Rhinolophus ferrumequinum: one gene and its partner. The protein of the gene in region 2 interacts with the protein of the main gene of each other region in a pairwise test. Links are inferred from orthologs where the notes say so. Each region holds a gene or a part of one and is shown on either strand. Other genes may lie near its edges.

The links.
Region 1: the proteins of EEF1G (region 2) and KLHL18 interact in binary tests that used the Homo sapiens proteins (3 or more experiments, as listed by UniProt). The two-hybrid records come from large-scale screens. The link is inferred for Rhinolophus ferrumequinum from reciprocal best matches to the Homo sapiens genes EEF1G and KLHL18.

What each region holds. Positions count from the first base shown.
Region 1 is NC_046300.1:8,394,027-8,401,288, forward strand, and holds the start of KLHL18 (kelch-like protein 18), read right to left. Parts: upstream 3,017-7,262; 5' UTR 2,981-3,016; coding exon 2,852-2,980; intron 1-2,851. Other genes in the region: kinesin-like protein KIF9, read left to right, coding at 3,356-3,453, 6,732-6,825. UniProt on the Homo sapiens protein: Substrate-specific adapter of a BCR (BTB-CUL3-RBX1) E3 ubiquitin-protein ligase complex required for mitotic progression and cytokinesis.
Region 2 is NC_046294.1:8,197,383-8,205,015, forward strand, and holds the start of EEF1G (elongation factor 1-gamma), read left to right. Parts: upstream 1-4,545; 5' UTR 4,546-4,688; coding exon 4,689-4,700; intron 4,701-5,765; coding exon 5,766-5,924; intron 5,925-6,609; coding exon 6,610-6,673; intron 6,674-6,827; coding exon 6,828-6,970; intron 6,971-7,503; coding exon 7,504-7,633. Other genes in the region: TUT1 (speckle targeted PIP5K1A-regulated poly(A) polymerase), read left to right, coding at 222-685, 1,280-1,389, 1,532-1,642, 1,825-1,917, 2,324-3,489. UniProt on the Homo sapiens protein: Probably plays a role in anchoring the complex to other cellular components.

The DNA.
Region 1 (7,262 bases), on a different chromosome or scaffold from region 2:
TCCTGAGCATTTACCACATGATTCTTTTAAGTGTATTAACTAATGGAATCCTTAACACTCTTGTTAGGCAGGTGATGATCCCCATTTTACAGATGAAGGAACTGAATCACCAGTGTTTAAGGAACTTGCCCAGGTTTTCACAGCTAATAAGCGGCAGAGCCAGGATTCAAACTCAGGCTCGAGTCTGTTTTATGCGTATTACCTCTCATACTGACAATCAAGAAATAGCAAAGCCCCCAAGGAAAAAGAAGCTGAAAGAGATTAGAAATGTTATGAAAAGCAGACAAACGTGTAGTCACTGACTTAGGTGGAGAATACTGACTGCTGCAGATGGCAAACCACTGCAGAACCCCCTCCAAAATTCAACTGTTGGAGACACACACGTTTCCTCTTATGGTGTGAGCATAAGAAAGGCTGAAAACAGGCGGGAGGCGTCCCCTCACCAGCCAAGCAACTGCAGAGGACCAGAGGTTTATTCTCTGGACAGGATAAACTAGAGACTCCACACTTGGGTAACCAGGGCACCACTGAAGGCAGGGAGCGGCCCCATTCAGGAGGCTTAAGTGAATGTTTGCACACAGAAGCCAGAGGCCCGGGTCTCCTCCCACCATAAGGCTCCTAAAATAACAGCAAGGCTTATTCCATCTAGGCAGACCAGGAGTAGCGTCACCAAAGAACTTGGAAACACAAATTCTCAAGCCCATGCCAGATGTACTGAATAAAAAATTCTGGGGTGAGGCCCAAAAACCGGTGAATAAGGCTGCCAGGTGATTCTAATGCCCCTGAAGTTTGAGAGCCACTGGCCTACAGGGAGGCCCACTAGTCAATAAACCCATCCCACACCAAAAAGCTTCCAACTTTTCAATGCCTCTTTATTTGGAAGACAGTCTGGAATCACCAGAAGTTTCAGGAAAGACGCTATCCTGAAAGAGAGACCGAAACAGATTTCACAGAGCAGCACTAGAGAATGGGAGGGAAATGTGGGAGAGCCTGGTTGGCTTGGTCTTTCCCTGGCCCCCACCATCATACTGCCACTAAGCTCGGTCTCAGGTGCTACATAATAGTTAGAGAACCAATGAAGCAGATACTCTCTACGGTCCTGTGCAGCTAGCCTGTGCCTTTATACTGGTCTTTATGTCCCAGATCCTTGAAACTATTACAGCAACTTAGAATGACACTCGGTTGGAAATCGAATAATTTACTTGTCCCCTTGTATGAACAAAAAGCATTTCAATGGAAAAATCATACAAGCATTTTTATGCTAAAGGTTGGCTATATTCTGTATTTGCATTAAATGCAGAGGCAAAATTCATTGCTTTAATTTATGTAGAGGTATCTGTGGCCATCCCCCTCTATCACGCCTTTCTTTGCTTCTCTGTATCTTACAAGCTTTCCTTGGCTCACCCTTTCAGGCTAAATCCTTTTTTTTCATTATTATTAAATTTATTGAGGTGACAATGGTTAGCACAGGCTAAATCTTAATCCAAAAATTCTCCCCTATTACTGTTTTTCACCAGTCTCTACTCACGCCAGTGATCATTCTGCTGCTTACAAATCTCTACTAGCCTCTACATCTTGTACCACATAATCACGGTGGACAAAAATCTCTCATTTACATCTAGTTCCTCTGCCTCCTTTAGTCCAGCTCATTTTCTCAAATCCCTTGGTTCTCTGCTAAAGATCCTTCCCCCTCTCAGGCCACTCCACTCCTCTCCTGGAAAACTTCAGGAGGGGTTTAGAGTGATGAAAACTTATGCCAGGCATTATGCACAGAATACCACTAATGTTCTCGTTTCATCCTCACACTAACACTGAGAATTAGGAATCATCCCTATTTTCACATTTGGAAAACTGATGCTTAGAGAAAGAAATTAAGTAACCTGCCCAATTTTAATCCAAACCCTTCAATCTCTAAAGCCACACCCTTAGTCATTCTATTCTACGGCCTGCAGAGGTCTGACTCCAATATGTGGAAGAAAAAAAGCTTCCTTAATCCTGCAGAAAATAAAAGCAAAAAGAGCTCCGTCGGAGTATTGTTTTGGTTTGAAACGAGGTCCTCCGCAGATGCTGACAGCCTTCCAGCCAAAGCACAACAGGGAACACGGCTTGCAGCAGCAGCATCTCCCCGCCTGGAGGGCTCCACATGGCTCAGCAGCCGGGCCAAGGAGCAGCCCAGCATGCTCTCCAGCAGATGGATGCAAAACACAGGCGGAAGGATGGCCCCTGCGCCCAGAATGCCAGTAGGGAACAGGTGGTTAAGAGACCCCGCTCCCCACGCAGCCCAGCAGTCCGTTTGCCGACCTTTGTGGTGGTGGCAGTGGTGTGCCTCCCAGTGTGGGGTCGAGCAGCTGCCCACTTCAAAGGATTTCCAGATCCGATTTTGAAAGCTCTTAAGAGACCAGGTAGTAATCTAATAATCAAGAGCAAGCAGTGACTCCTAAGGAAAAGCCTACAACACAGCTAACTTCGAAGGGCACAAAGACATGTCTATGGTGACAAGAGAAGGTGCTTCAGTGCCCATCAGAATGTGGAGACAGCCACCGCCCCTTCCTCGGTGGAAGGGCTGCAAGTGCATTTTCTCTTGTCGGTGTGACAGAAAGGGGAGGCGGGGACTCCAGCGTCTCCCACTCCGAGGGCCTCAGCGGCGCCCCTCTCAGCCTTTCCTTGTAAGGGCTGAGCGGCTGTGCCTGTCCGTCTCCCACGCCGCACCTCTCTCCTCCACTCGGTCTCCTCCAACCTCCTTTCCCCAGCCCTCAGCCCGCTAGACCGCTCTTCCCCTGTCGGCCCCGCCCCTCTTTCCTCCGCTCCGGGTTCCTTTCCCCTCAGCCCCGCGCCGTCCAGCCCTTGGTACCTTGAGCGTCACGTCGCACAGCTTGCCCTGCCGCCGGATCTCCTCCATGACGCCGTAGCCGCGACTAGGCAACTCGGACACGGAGAAGTGCACCAGGTCTTCCAGCTCCTCGGCGCCGTCCTCCACCATCTTCCCCCGCCGCCTCGACTGCGCAGGCCTGGCCGGCCGGCTCCAAACTCAACAGGGCGGGGCGCGGGAGCACGCCGACGGCAGCTCGGGCGCCGGGCTGGGATCAGAGGGGCCTGCGCGGCCGCCGTAGTCAAAGACAGCTCTGCGCCGGAAGTCCTGCTGCCCCGCTTCCTGGTTCATGTGCAGCCTTCGTTCCCTCGCCATCCCGATCCTAGTCTCCTGTTTGCAGCTGCCGCAGTCTTCCTAAAATCATCCGCCCCATCTCCCGTCTTACCGATTCTGCCCTGGCCTTACTCGTATCTCAACAGAGGACCTCAGACTTCATTTCCGCCACCACCCCGATACTTCCGGAACCTCCGGAAGCAACCCGTTGCCATGGCGGCTGTGTATACAGCCCCACAGCCGAGCATACCGGTTTTCGGTCGCGGCAGTTGCAGCGGTCGCGCTGCGAAAGGGCTGCTGCCTCCTAAGAGGTGAGCAGGGGACATGCGCCGGGGTGGGGAGAAGGGAGATTGGAGAGAGGGTGTATGCCACGGCGGCGGGCAGCGGCTGGGATCGGAACACCGCTCCACGCGGAGTTCACTGGGTTGGCTCGCTGATCAGTGAAACCTGGGCGGATGAGGACGCGGCGTCGCGGGGTCCGTTGCAGCTTGGCTGAGGCTTAGATTCTTCAGATCTAACGTTCTCTGGCCCCACAGGGTCCTACATAGTTCAGAGGGCGCGAGGCGGGGGGCCAGAGGTCTTCTGGGTTCTTCTGCACTTGTAGGTTTTCGAACTGGAGGGGCTCCCGGAACGCCAGTCTGAGTCCTTCGAGTTACAGGTTAGGAAACCGCTCCAGAGAGGGATAGGAATGGTCTCAAGGCCCACTGCCTCCCAGATTCCACCTCGGGGTCCGGCATGTTGGGTGAGGAAACGGAGAAAGGCCAGTTAGTCCTGCCTGGATCCGAGTCTTTTGTTTAACCCAAGAATGGGTGCGTTTGGGACCGATTCTTTTGTTTGTTTCATTTTGGTTCAGATGCTTCTGCCGCTCTGATGTCTATGAGGGTTTCCCATGAGAGCCCCTCATCTGGGCAGAAGCGCTGGAAGATAGGGACTCTCCTGGTGCCTACCGACCCAGGAGATGCTCCCTATCCTTTTATCAAGCTTTCAGATGCTTGGTGGCAATTCTGTTCGTTCTCACCTCTAAAACAAATGAGCAAACCGCGATCCTCTCAGCAGGGATGTTTCTTGGTGACCACTCAGAGGTTTATTTATTTACACCAGAAATATGGAAGGAGAGTGCCAGGAAGAGAGGGGCATTCATTCCCCACAAGGTCCTGAGGGAGAAGGATCCTACTAAAAGGGAGGGCGTGGTGAGAGACTGAATATGTTTTTCTGCAAGTAGTGCCTGGAAACCAAGTGTCCTTCTAGAAGGGCTGTGGACTCAGGTATTGGCGGTGGTGTGGAAGGGGAGTGACATTATATGCCCCTTGGGACTTTCTCAGTAGTGCCCGAAGATGGAGCAACATGGAGATTCAGCCACCCTCTGACTTCCAACCATGACCATCACCACCACCACCATTTCTTGAGCACCTGCTCTGTGCTGGGCACTGCTCTGGACATTGAGTGGGGACTCAAAAGAGATGAAAGGCACAGCCCTATCTCCCAAGCAGTTTGTAATTTAATTCGGGAGCTGAAACCCACTCAAATGATGCGACGTAAGAATAGTAACAAGCATTTCAGTAAGTGCAAGATGGCATGGGGTCCCCAAATGTCTGGGTGTTGAGGGGCTGCTGAGTAGCAGTCTCAAGGGGAGGGGGGGATGTAGTTAGTAGAGAAGGTTTGCCTCTGTTGGGTATGGCTTCTGGCATGCTTGGTGCCATGGGTGTGTGCATGGGGAGGGCTTGGGAATCACAGATAGGATGACTGCATGCAAGTACATGTTGGCAAATTGTGGGGTAGAGAAGAGCTAGTCTCAGAGGGGAGGGTGGTGCTTGGAGCTGGCCTGTGCTGCCCTTGTGCTGTCAGTGAGTGGGGGCTGCTGGGAGAGCACCTGCCCCCAGAGCTGCTCTACTTCTTCATGGTACCCTTCAGAGGGCATCCTGGGCAGGAGGACGTGCCCTTGGACGTGTGTAGGGAATGGTTCCAGAGCTTTAGAAAATGAGGGTGTTTCCTTGAGTTAGAACACACTTCCCTCCACTCTCAACTTCCCAGTAGTCTAGATCAAAGTGAACTTTACATGAGATTTTCTTTTCAATTTCCTCAATTTAGGATTCATAGTAGAGTTATTTGTAGCTTTTTGTTCTTGGAGCTCAATTTTTCCGACAAAAATTTCAGGACTGCAATTGGACAAGCCATTATCCTTGTTCACCTGAGTACCCTTCAGATTCATTTTCTAAAAATTAGGAGGTCTGAATGATCCCACAGTGGAAAAGACTTCCATGAAATCATGACTTGAGGAATGTAGGAAGTGGACACACACTCTACAATAGGCAAATATGAACGTAACATGTTTGCTTATTTGATTTGACATATGAAGGGCTTGTAACTGGGGTTAGAGTTCAGTGTCCACATTGAAACTAAATGGAAAGGGCAGGCCCTGTCACTGTTTATCTTGCCTCTAGAGATACTCAGTGCTACTTGATGATAGTTAATACAATTGTAAGAGGAAATCAAGTTGTGTCTAGAAACGTGGAGGAACATTAATATTTTAAAAGCATGGAATCATTTTTATCAGGTAATACTCATTGAACCTCTCTTAGATAATGCATGTAAAATGTTAACGTTCTTTATGTAATGTACTTTTTTAAAAAGTGCAATAATTAACTTCATTAAAAAGAAGAAATCCCTGCTATGCCTTACTTTTCTTTACAGTAAAGGTCTTGAAAATTAGCTTTTTAACAACATTAAACATCATATCAGTTTGTTAGAGTGCTTTGCAATAGCCCAGGCAAGCTATTTATCCTTAATAACTGTGTTGATATTGCTTTTTTCTAATTTGAAGATGAAATGGAGCCAGCTCCCTCCCTATGCCTCATGTTTCCCTAACTCTTCATAAATTCATTAAATTCCTTTGTTGGTTGTCTTTTTCAAAAGTATGCAGTTTTCTTTAGCCTCAACTCCTCTCTGCTGCACATAAATGAAGAAATACAAATATACAGAAAGAAAATGAAGAGAATATAGTTAGGCTTTAGGAGAGGAAGAAGAAGTAGGGGATGACCGGTGATTTTGCTCTCAATGGAGTGCCAGAGAAGAAAGAATATTTGATTATGGGCTAGATTAAATATATATCCAGCGAATCTTTTTTCTGATCTAAGTTATCGATGGAGGTGCTGCACTTGAAGTAAGGTATATTAATGAAGAAAAGAATTAGCTTTAAGACCTTTCATAGTAAATATTTGCAAGGAAAATCTAATGAATGAGGCAAAGCATTAGTGGACTCGGATACAGGACCTGTCTAGAAACTACATCTAAGATTAGGCCACTACAGGGAGCGTTCTTTGCTTTGTTTTTCGGTCCTGTAGGGGGTCATTGGTGGACAATGGCAAGGCAACCTGTAAAGTAGGAAGTACACATACTTATTGGGCAGTGTCCCACGGGTAGAGCACTGAAATGCTAAGGGGTGAAAAAGAAGACTGGCATCCAGTGGGATAGGAAGCTTTGGACTGCACATCACTCGTTTCCGATCTTCTTAATGAATGACGCCTCCCCTCTATTGTCATTTGATGATAATGACTACTGAAAATTTCGCTATTTTCTTCTTTTTAGCTAGAATGGGTACTAGGAAAAAAGTTCATGCGTTTGTCCGTGTCAGACCCACCGATGACTTTGCTCATGAAATGATCAGATACGGAGATGACAACAAAGTAAGTGCAATGTGTTTGCCTTCACCTGCCTGGGTCTCTCTCTGTCCCTCCTCCAAACAACCTCAAAGGACCAAGACAGAATTGGTAAAAGTTTAGATGGACTCTAGAGTCCATAAAGACCAAGCCATACCCTCACAATGCCACTGATGAAAAAACTCCTATTTTTAATTGTCTTTTTGGTTAGTGAGTTTACCTTTATCCTTGTTATGTGACACAGAAAAACTGACATTTGTCCATACTCATAAAACTTTCCGGTGATCAGATCTGCTGTTACATAATCTCCCGGAGGGTACAGTGGGTATGTCTCCAGTGGATAACTGTTAAACTTACCAAGCAGTGAGGGGAACTCTTTGTCAAGAGAACTGGAAAGATTTATCCATCCCCATGTTCTCACTGCTGTCCTGAGAACCTTTCTGAAGCCTGTGACGGGCTTAGGG
Region 2 (7,633 bases):
CATTTTTATAGAATACAGACTGCTTATTTTATGGCTTTAAAAAGGTATTTCTAATTGAAAAAAAAATATTGTGAGGATTAAATGAGTTAACATGTGTAAAGCCCTTAGAATAGGGCCTGGCACATAATAAGTAGTAGGTCATGGGTATGTCTTGGGGACGAGACTGTTCCCAGTTAGGGGGCAGCAGGAGAGGCATTCACTCAGTTCTTTTCCATCCACAGCCAGCCCCAAAGGCTCCAGAGTCCCCATCCTTGGACTCAGCCCTTGCATCCCCACTGGACCCTCAAGCCTGCACCCCAGCCTCCCCTCCAGACTCTCACCCTCCAGATTCTCCTCAAGACTCAGAAGCCCTGGACTTTGAAATCCCTTCCTCCTCCCAGGCGCCCCACACTCCGGACTCAGCTTTGGCCTCTGAGACCCTTGCTTCTCCCCAGTCCCTGCCTCCAGCCTCACCACTGCAGGAGGACCGGGGAGAGGGGGACCTGGGGAAGGCTCTGGAGCTAGCAGAGGCTCTGAAGGGGGAGAAAACAGAGCAGGGAGCCATGCTGGAGTTGGTAGGATCCATCCTTCGTGGCTGTGTCCCTGGAGTGTACCGAGTCCAAACTGTGCCCTCTGCCCGATGCCCTGTGGTCAAGTTCTGCCATCGGCCTTCAGGTCTCCACGGTGACATCTCCCTCAGTAACCGGTACCGTTGTTTAGGGGGGTGGTTGGGGAAGGCAAGCTGAGCGTTCTGGGGTGGCTGAGGAGGGAGCCCTGGTGGGGGAGCTCCTGCACATGCCACGCCTCAAGCTTATCCTTGTTTGGACCCATCCCTCTTTCTGCCACTCATCTCCTGCCTGTCTTCCATGTCAATGGAAAGTATCTTTTTTAGGATACTGTTTTTAAGGGATTTAGAAAAGAGTTCCATGGTTAAGTAAGTTTGGGAAATACTAAGTTAAACACAAATAGGTTTCTTCCTTCTCTCCTTCTGCCCCACTTCCTCTTTCTCATTTCCTTTTTTCCTCTCTTTCTCCTTTTCTCCCCTTCTCCCTCCCTTCTTGTCTTTGTTTCTTTGCATAGTAAAGGCCTGAGCAGGCTTTTATTAACAATAACACGCTCTGAATGTCCGAGACGGGCATATAGGATGTCGTGTTCTTTGTACAGCCTCTCACAAGACCACTGTGTCAGCAAACACTTAGGAAACCCTCTCTGGCCGCCGTTACAGTCTGGACTGGGAGCTGGGGGTGATCGGTTCAGAGCGTTCCTGAGCCGTAACGTCCTCGTCTCCTCTTTGTCCCAGGCTGGCCCTGCATAACTCCCGCTTCCTGAGTCTCTGCTCTGAGCTGGATGAGCGAGTACGGCCCCTCGTGTACACCCTCCGCTGCTGGGCTCAGGGTCGAGGGCTAGCAGGTGAGAGGCAGGAGAGAGCTGGGGCTGAGTTGGTGTCGGGCAAAGAAGGGAGGCAAATACAGGAACCAGGATTGAGAAAAACTGCCAAGGAAGGGATCGGAAGCACCTCTAATCTAACTGGAATTATTGATTATTTACCCAGGGAGTGGCCCCCTTCTCAATAACTACGCCCTGACCTTGCTCGTGATCTATTTCCTTCAGACCAGGGACCCTCCTGTGTTGCCCACTGTGTCCCAACTCACCCAGAAAGCAGGTACAGCAGCCGGCCTCCACCCTCTCTATCTCATTAGTTTCATCTCTTCTCTTCTTCGTCTTACTCACACTGAGTTACCCTGGGAATGAGATCTCCGCTATCTCCCTCATTTCCATCCCTCACCCTCCTTTCCCTCAATCTTCCTGCTTCCAGGCTGACCCTCACCTTTTTCACTTTCACAGGTGAGGGTGAACAGGTGGAGGTTGATGGCTGGGACTGCAGTTTCCCCAGGGATGCCTCGAGACTGGAGCCCAGCACCAATCAGGAGCCCCTGAGTGAGTTTGGGGAGCCCACAGAGGACTAATAAATAATGTTGATCACAACAGGAGGTAACACAGTTATTGTGTACCAGGCATGGTTCTCATAGTAGCCTTGGGGGACAGCTAGTGTTGTTATTGCCATTTCACATGTGAAGAAACCATGCCTTAGAGTAATTAAGTGGCTTACCCAAGGTTACACTGCTAGCAAAGGGAAGGAGTAGCGTCTGGGAAATGACATTGCTGGGGACACAGGAAGAGAGCGTGGCCTCATGTTTATGGGGATCAGAGGAGCCTGGCTTCTGGCACTGTTCTGAGCCACTTAGAAGGGAAAACGAAAGTCCTGCTAAGGGAATGGCTCTGGTTCAGGGTCTGTCTCAGTTCTGGCCTCTCAGTAACCCCTTTTCCTGGTCTTCTCCTCCAGGTTCCCTACTAGCCCAGTTCTTCTCCTGCGTCTCTTGTTGGGATCTTCGTGGCTCACTGCTCTCCCTGCGGGAGGGTCGGGCACTGCCTGTGGCAGGGGGCCTGCCCTCTAATCTCTGGGAGGGTCTGCGCCTCGGCCCCATGAATCTCCAGGACCCCTTTGACCTGAGTCACAATGTGGCAGCCAATGTAACCAGCCGGGTAGCCGGGCGGTTACAGAACTGCTGCCGAGTAGCAGCCAATTACTGCAGAAGCCTCCAGTACCAGCACCGTTCCTCCCGGGGTCGGGACTGGGGGCTGCTCCCCCTTCTGCAGCCGAGCTCCCCTAGTTCTCTGCTGTCTGCAACACCCATCCCCTTACCCCCTGTTCCCTTTACCCAGCTCACTGCTGGCCTGGTCCAGGTGTTCAGAGAAGCATTGGGTTGCCATATAGAACAGGGAACCAAGAGACTGCGGTCAGAGGGAGGTAGAAATGGAGATTCTCCCCAGGGAGGGTCAAGCAAAAGACTGAAACTAGACAGACAGAAAACAAGCTGTGAGGAGAGGCAGGAGGAGCAGCAGGGATGTATGGGGGAGCATGGCGAAGATGGGGTGGAAGAAATGGTTATAGAGAGTGGAGAGTCAGTGGAGGACTGGGCCATGCAGAGCCCTGGGCAGCCAGGGGAGCCTTCCCTGATGGCTGGAAAGCACCTTGCCACTGGAGGACAGGAGCAGTCAGGCCATGCAGCGCTGGCTGAGCAGGGCCCCAAAGGACCAGACGCAGCCCGAGAAGGGTCCCAGGGTGAGACAGGGAAGGGGGCATCACTCTCCTCCGTGAGCTGGCGCTGTGCCTTGTGGCACCGAGTGTGGCAGGGGCGGCGGCGTGCCCGGAGACGCCTGCAGCAGCAAACCAAGGAAGGAGGCAGAGGTGGTGCTGGCACGGGAGTAGAGTGGCTGGCGACTGAGGCTCGGGTAACCCAGGAACTGAGAGGACCGAGCAGTGCTGAACAGAGGCCAGAGACTGAGCCGCTCCTGACCTTTGTGGCGTCTGCTTCCCAGGCTGACCAGACTCTCACTGTGACCCCACTTCAGGATTCCCAAGGCCTGTTTCCTGATCTCCATCATTTCTTACAGGTTTTCCTTCCTCAAGCACTTCGAAATCTTCTAGAGTCAAGACAGGGGCCCTAAAGGGCAATTAAGCTGCTAGTTTAATAAACACTACAGTTTCCTCTAATTTCCACCTGGTAACAATGCTCCTTCCGCCTCGTACTTCCCCTCCCCAGACCTTAATGCAGCCTTCTCAGAGGTGTCGTCTCTGGCCACTCCAAAACAGGTCTCAGCCTGTTTCCTTCTTACCATTTATCACAACTTGCGGGGAGTGCCCAGGACGGTGTGTCTGGCACCTGGAGCCCACTTGGGAGAGTTCGGGAGTGATGGAGTGCTGAGTAGAGGTATTGAACAGTACCTGTGAGAAGAACCAAGTTTGCCTCTTCCTTTACCTTGCTGCCGAGATTTATGAATGGTGACAGGGCCTGAAATTTGAGTTCAGGGTTCTTCACGCATTCCGTCACTTAACAGAATTCATCCCCTTCTAAAACTGGGTAAAAGATTTTCAAAGCTGAACATGGGTAAATGGCAACCTGTATCAGTTTGTCTTAAATTGTCAATCCCTCCAGAGTGACAGGAGGTGGAAGGGATATGGCTGTTGTCCCTTAGCCTCCCCCCTGTTGCAGGCCCACAGACTAGTGCCCTTCTGGAAATAACAGCATCCTGGAGATGCAAGGTGGTTTAATGGGAGAAAAACTAAATTTATTATAACAGAGGGTTTCAGACTTAGGCTCCGATTAGACATTCATCTTATCTAGAAAACCAGAGCAGGTCAAAAGGAATTTGGCACACCGCCATCTCCACACCGTGGCGTGTCGCACAGTCACGATGTTCGGGGCTTCGCAGGACCTCCCATCAAGCCTCTCATCTTGGGCCTCACTTATACTGCGGGCCGGAGGGGGATGCCTGCGGCACCCAGCGCGGCGCAGGGATGGCAGCTGTGCCACGTAGCTGCCTAGGGGAAGCGGTCCAGCTAGTTCTCTCAGTTTCTCCGCGCCTCTCTACACGTTGGGACTCGGATTGGCCATACCTGAGGGGCGGGCCAGTCACGTGAGCCACTGCGCAGGCGCGAGCGTTTTCCGCGCCAGTCCGCAGGCCCCACCCCCTTTCCAATTCAGCTGCCGTGGTACCCCGAACTGTCGTGCGTATGCCTTCTGTGCCGTCCTCGCTTTCCGGCTGCTATTTCTCCACGGCGCTCTCCCGCCCCCCTCCCTTCTTTCCCTCACGGCTTACTTTGCGGCAGCACTGAGAGCCCCACCCCCTTTCTCTGCGGAATCACCATGGCGGCTGGGGTAAGTTTGCCGGCTCAGGCCATACAGGTCACTATATCCGACGCCATCCTCTCCCCGAGTGGGACCAGCCGGCGTCAGAGGAGTTCTGGAGCCGAGTGGGGAACTGATTCGGGGTCTAGAGATCTTACTGTTGGAGAGCAGGGCTTCCAGGCCCCGGAGGGGAACTGAGGCTGGGACTGTCGGAGGCCAAAGAGGTGGAAGGGTCTGGGTTATAGGAGAAAAGAGATGTCGGATCCTGGCCGTCTGGGGCCAGAGAAAGGGGTTCAGGTTCATTGCCACCTTGAGACATGGGATCCGGGCAGGTTGACAGAACTTTTGCGACCGTTTTGTGGGGCAACAGCAGAGACGGTGAAGAGGAGGGTCTTTGTGGGCAGGTACGGCTGGCCACGGTCTAAGGGCCGTCCATCAGGGAGGTTTGGGAGGGAGAGGTCTCTCGGGACTGTAGAGTCAGACCAGTTGGACCCCGCCGGCCAGGTAGGCAACACCAGGGAACTCACTGCCGGACAGGACCGGAGGAATGAAATGCGTGACAAGGGAAGAAAGGTTTTTTAGGGAGAGAAGATGCCATTCGTCCCTGTGTCCCTGTGTCTCTTCGGAGGGGAACTTGGAAATGTCTTGGTGCGTGTGTGTGTGTCTTAGAGACAAGGACGATGCTTGTGAAGCGGTGAGCCGCTCAGCAATAGACAGGCACTGGGTAACCATCAATGAATGAAACAAGGGCTCTGGAAAGGCAGGGGTGTATGTCGCAGCTGGAGTCTGAGGGAGCTGGAAGTTCTGGATTTCTTGGAGATATTATTTGAGGGGAAGAGAATGCTTCTACAGATGTCCTTAGGGAAGGTCAAATCTGTCAACAAGCTTTATTTAGCAGTTGGTGTGTAGTTCTGTTCTCCGTGTTTTGGAGGACTCTGATTACACATGGCAGATTCTGAAGAACTTGGTTCACCAGCCGGAGTGAAAGAGTGAGTTGAAGAGATTGGGATTGTTCAGGAAAGTCATCCCAGAGGTGACATGTAGGACTTGGGACCCTTCTACTCACACTGACATTCCCCCCCCTTTCTTGCACAGACGCTGTACACATACCCTGAAAACTGGAGGGCCTTCAAAGCCCTCATTGCCGCTCAGTACAGCGGGGCTCAGGTCCGCGTGCTCTCCGCACCACCCCACTTCCACTTTGGTCAAACCAACCGCACCCCTGAATTTCTCCGTAAATTTCCAGCTGGCAAGGTGAGTAGGGGAGTGGGAGGAGGGGTCTTTGGTCCTGAGAACCCAAGTGGCTATAAGATTCTATCACTTTGAGATGGCCTCCATCTTTAAAAGGGAACTTTCCATTTTTTTCCACATTATAGTGATTTAAAAAAAAAAATTTTTTTTTGAGGTAATTGCAGATTCCCATTAGTGAAGATACTAAAGAGATATTCAATGACATTTTAAAAAAATTACAGGCATACTTTGTATTTGTGGGAGAGAGAATGAGTTTTGACTGATTTCAGTGCAAATATGTCAAGTATCAACTATGAACAGAATCCTTGCCCCGCGGGTCTTACGGAAATAACCAGGCTGAGAGTAGAAGCTCAAGTGCAGTGTGGGGAGCACCATAATATTTTGAGTATTATAGATGTAGATATAAGACTTGGCTTCTGACCTTTTGCTTGTTTGATGGAAGGCTTTTATCCAAATATCCAATAATATCTAAATCTTTTGGGTTTATTATGTGACTTCAGATTGTAAGGGATACCAAGTTAATTCAAATATTTTTGGTTCCTGAGTTTCAGATAGTATCAGGAGTTTCGTTAGAAAGGATCATCAGCCTTATATAAAAACGTTTTTATCCAAAACAGTTCACTTCCTGGGATTGGCTAGTGAGAAATTCCTGTGAGTTTCATTGATCTTTTGACTGCTTTGTCCCCAGGTTCCAGCATTTGAAGGCGACGATGGATTCTGTGTGTTTGAGAGCAATGCCATTGCCTACTACGGTAATTTGCAGTAGATAGGGCATGGAGGTTCTGGAAGTGAGGGGTGAACGAGAGGATGAGGATGAACTGGAATGGACAAGGGGAGGGCTTTTTAGGGATTGGATTGTTGTTAGCACGATCCCCAGGCTCTGACCTTTGTGTTCTGCCTCTGCAGTGAGCAATGAAGAGCTTCGGGGACGTACTCCAGAGGCAGCAGCGCAGGTGGTACAGTGGGTGAGCTTTGCTGATAGCGACATAGTGCCCCCAGCCAGTACCTGGGTGTTCCCCACCTTGGGCATCATGCACCACAACAAGCAGGTAAGCCTTGGAACTTGGGGAGAAACCAGGAGTGGGGATGATATCAGCTGCAGAGTGTCAGGGAGTAAGGAATAAAATAGGTTGAGAAAAGGAGATGCCAAGAATATGTGGGAAATAAAGGACCTAATCTTTGGGGTATGAGTTTGGAGAACTGGGCTGTTGATGGTGTCTGAGTCTTTGTCGGACCCCGTGGGGCTGGTATCTGTCAATGGTGGTCAGAGGAGAGACCTCTGCTGTAGGAAGGTTATGCCAAATGGTAGGGGAGTGGTTAGACCAGATGACCTCTAAGGTTCCTTTTAAAATACAAAGACACATGGCTACGATCATTACAGTGGAGAATGAGGGAGCACTGCACCAAGAAGAAGTTATTATGTGACTTCATTTGTGGGAGCTTCATTTGTGATACGTTTGGAAGAATCCTAGAATCTGACTCCTTTGAAAGGGTTAAATGAAATGGCTACCTGAGTTCTGTTCTTGGGGTGAGGGAAAGGGTTTGGTCCTCACTGATACAGTTGGTCATTTTAAATCAATAGGCCACAGAGAATGCGAAGGAGGAGGTGAGGCGAATTCTGGGGCTGCTGGACGCTCACTTGAAGACGAGGACTTTTCTGGTGGGCGAACGTGTGACGCTGGCTGATATCACAGTTGTCTGCACCCTGCTGT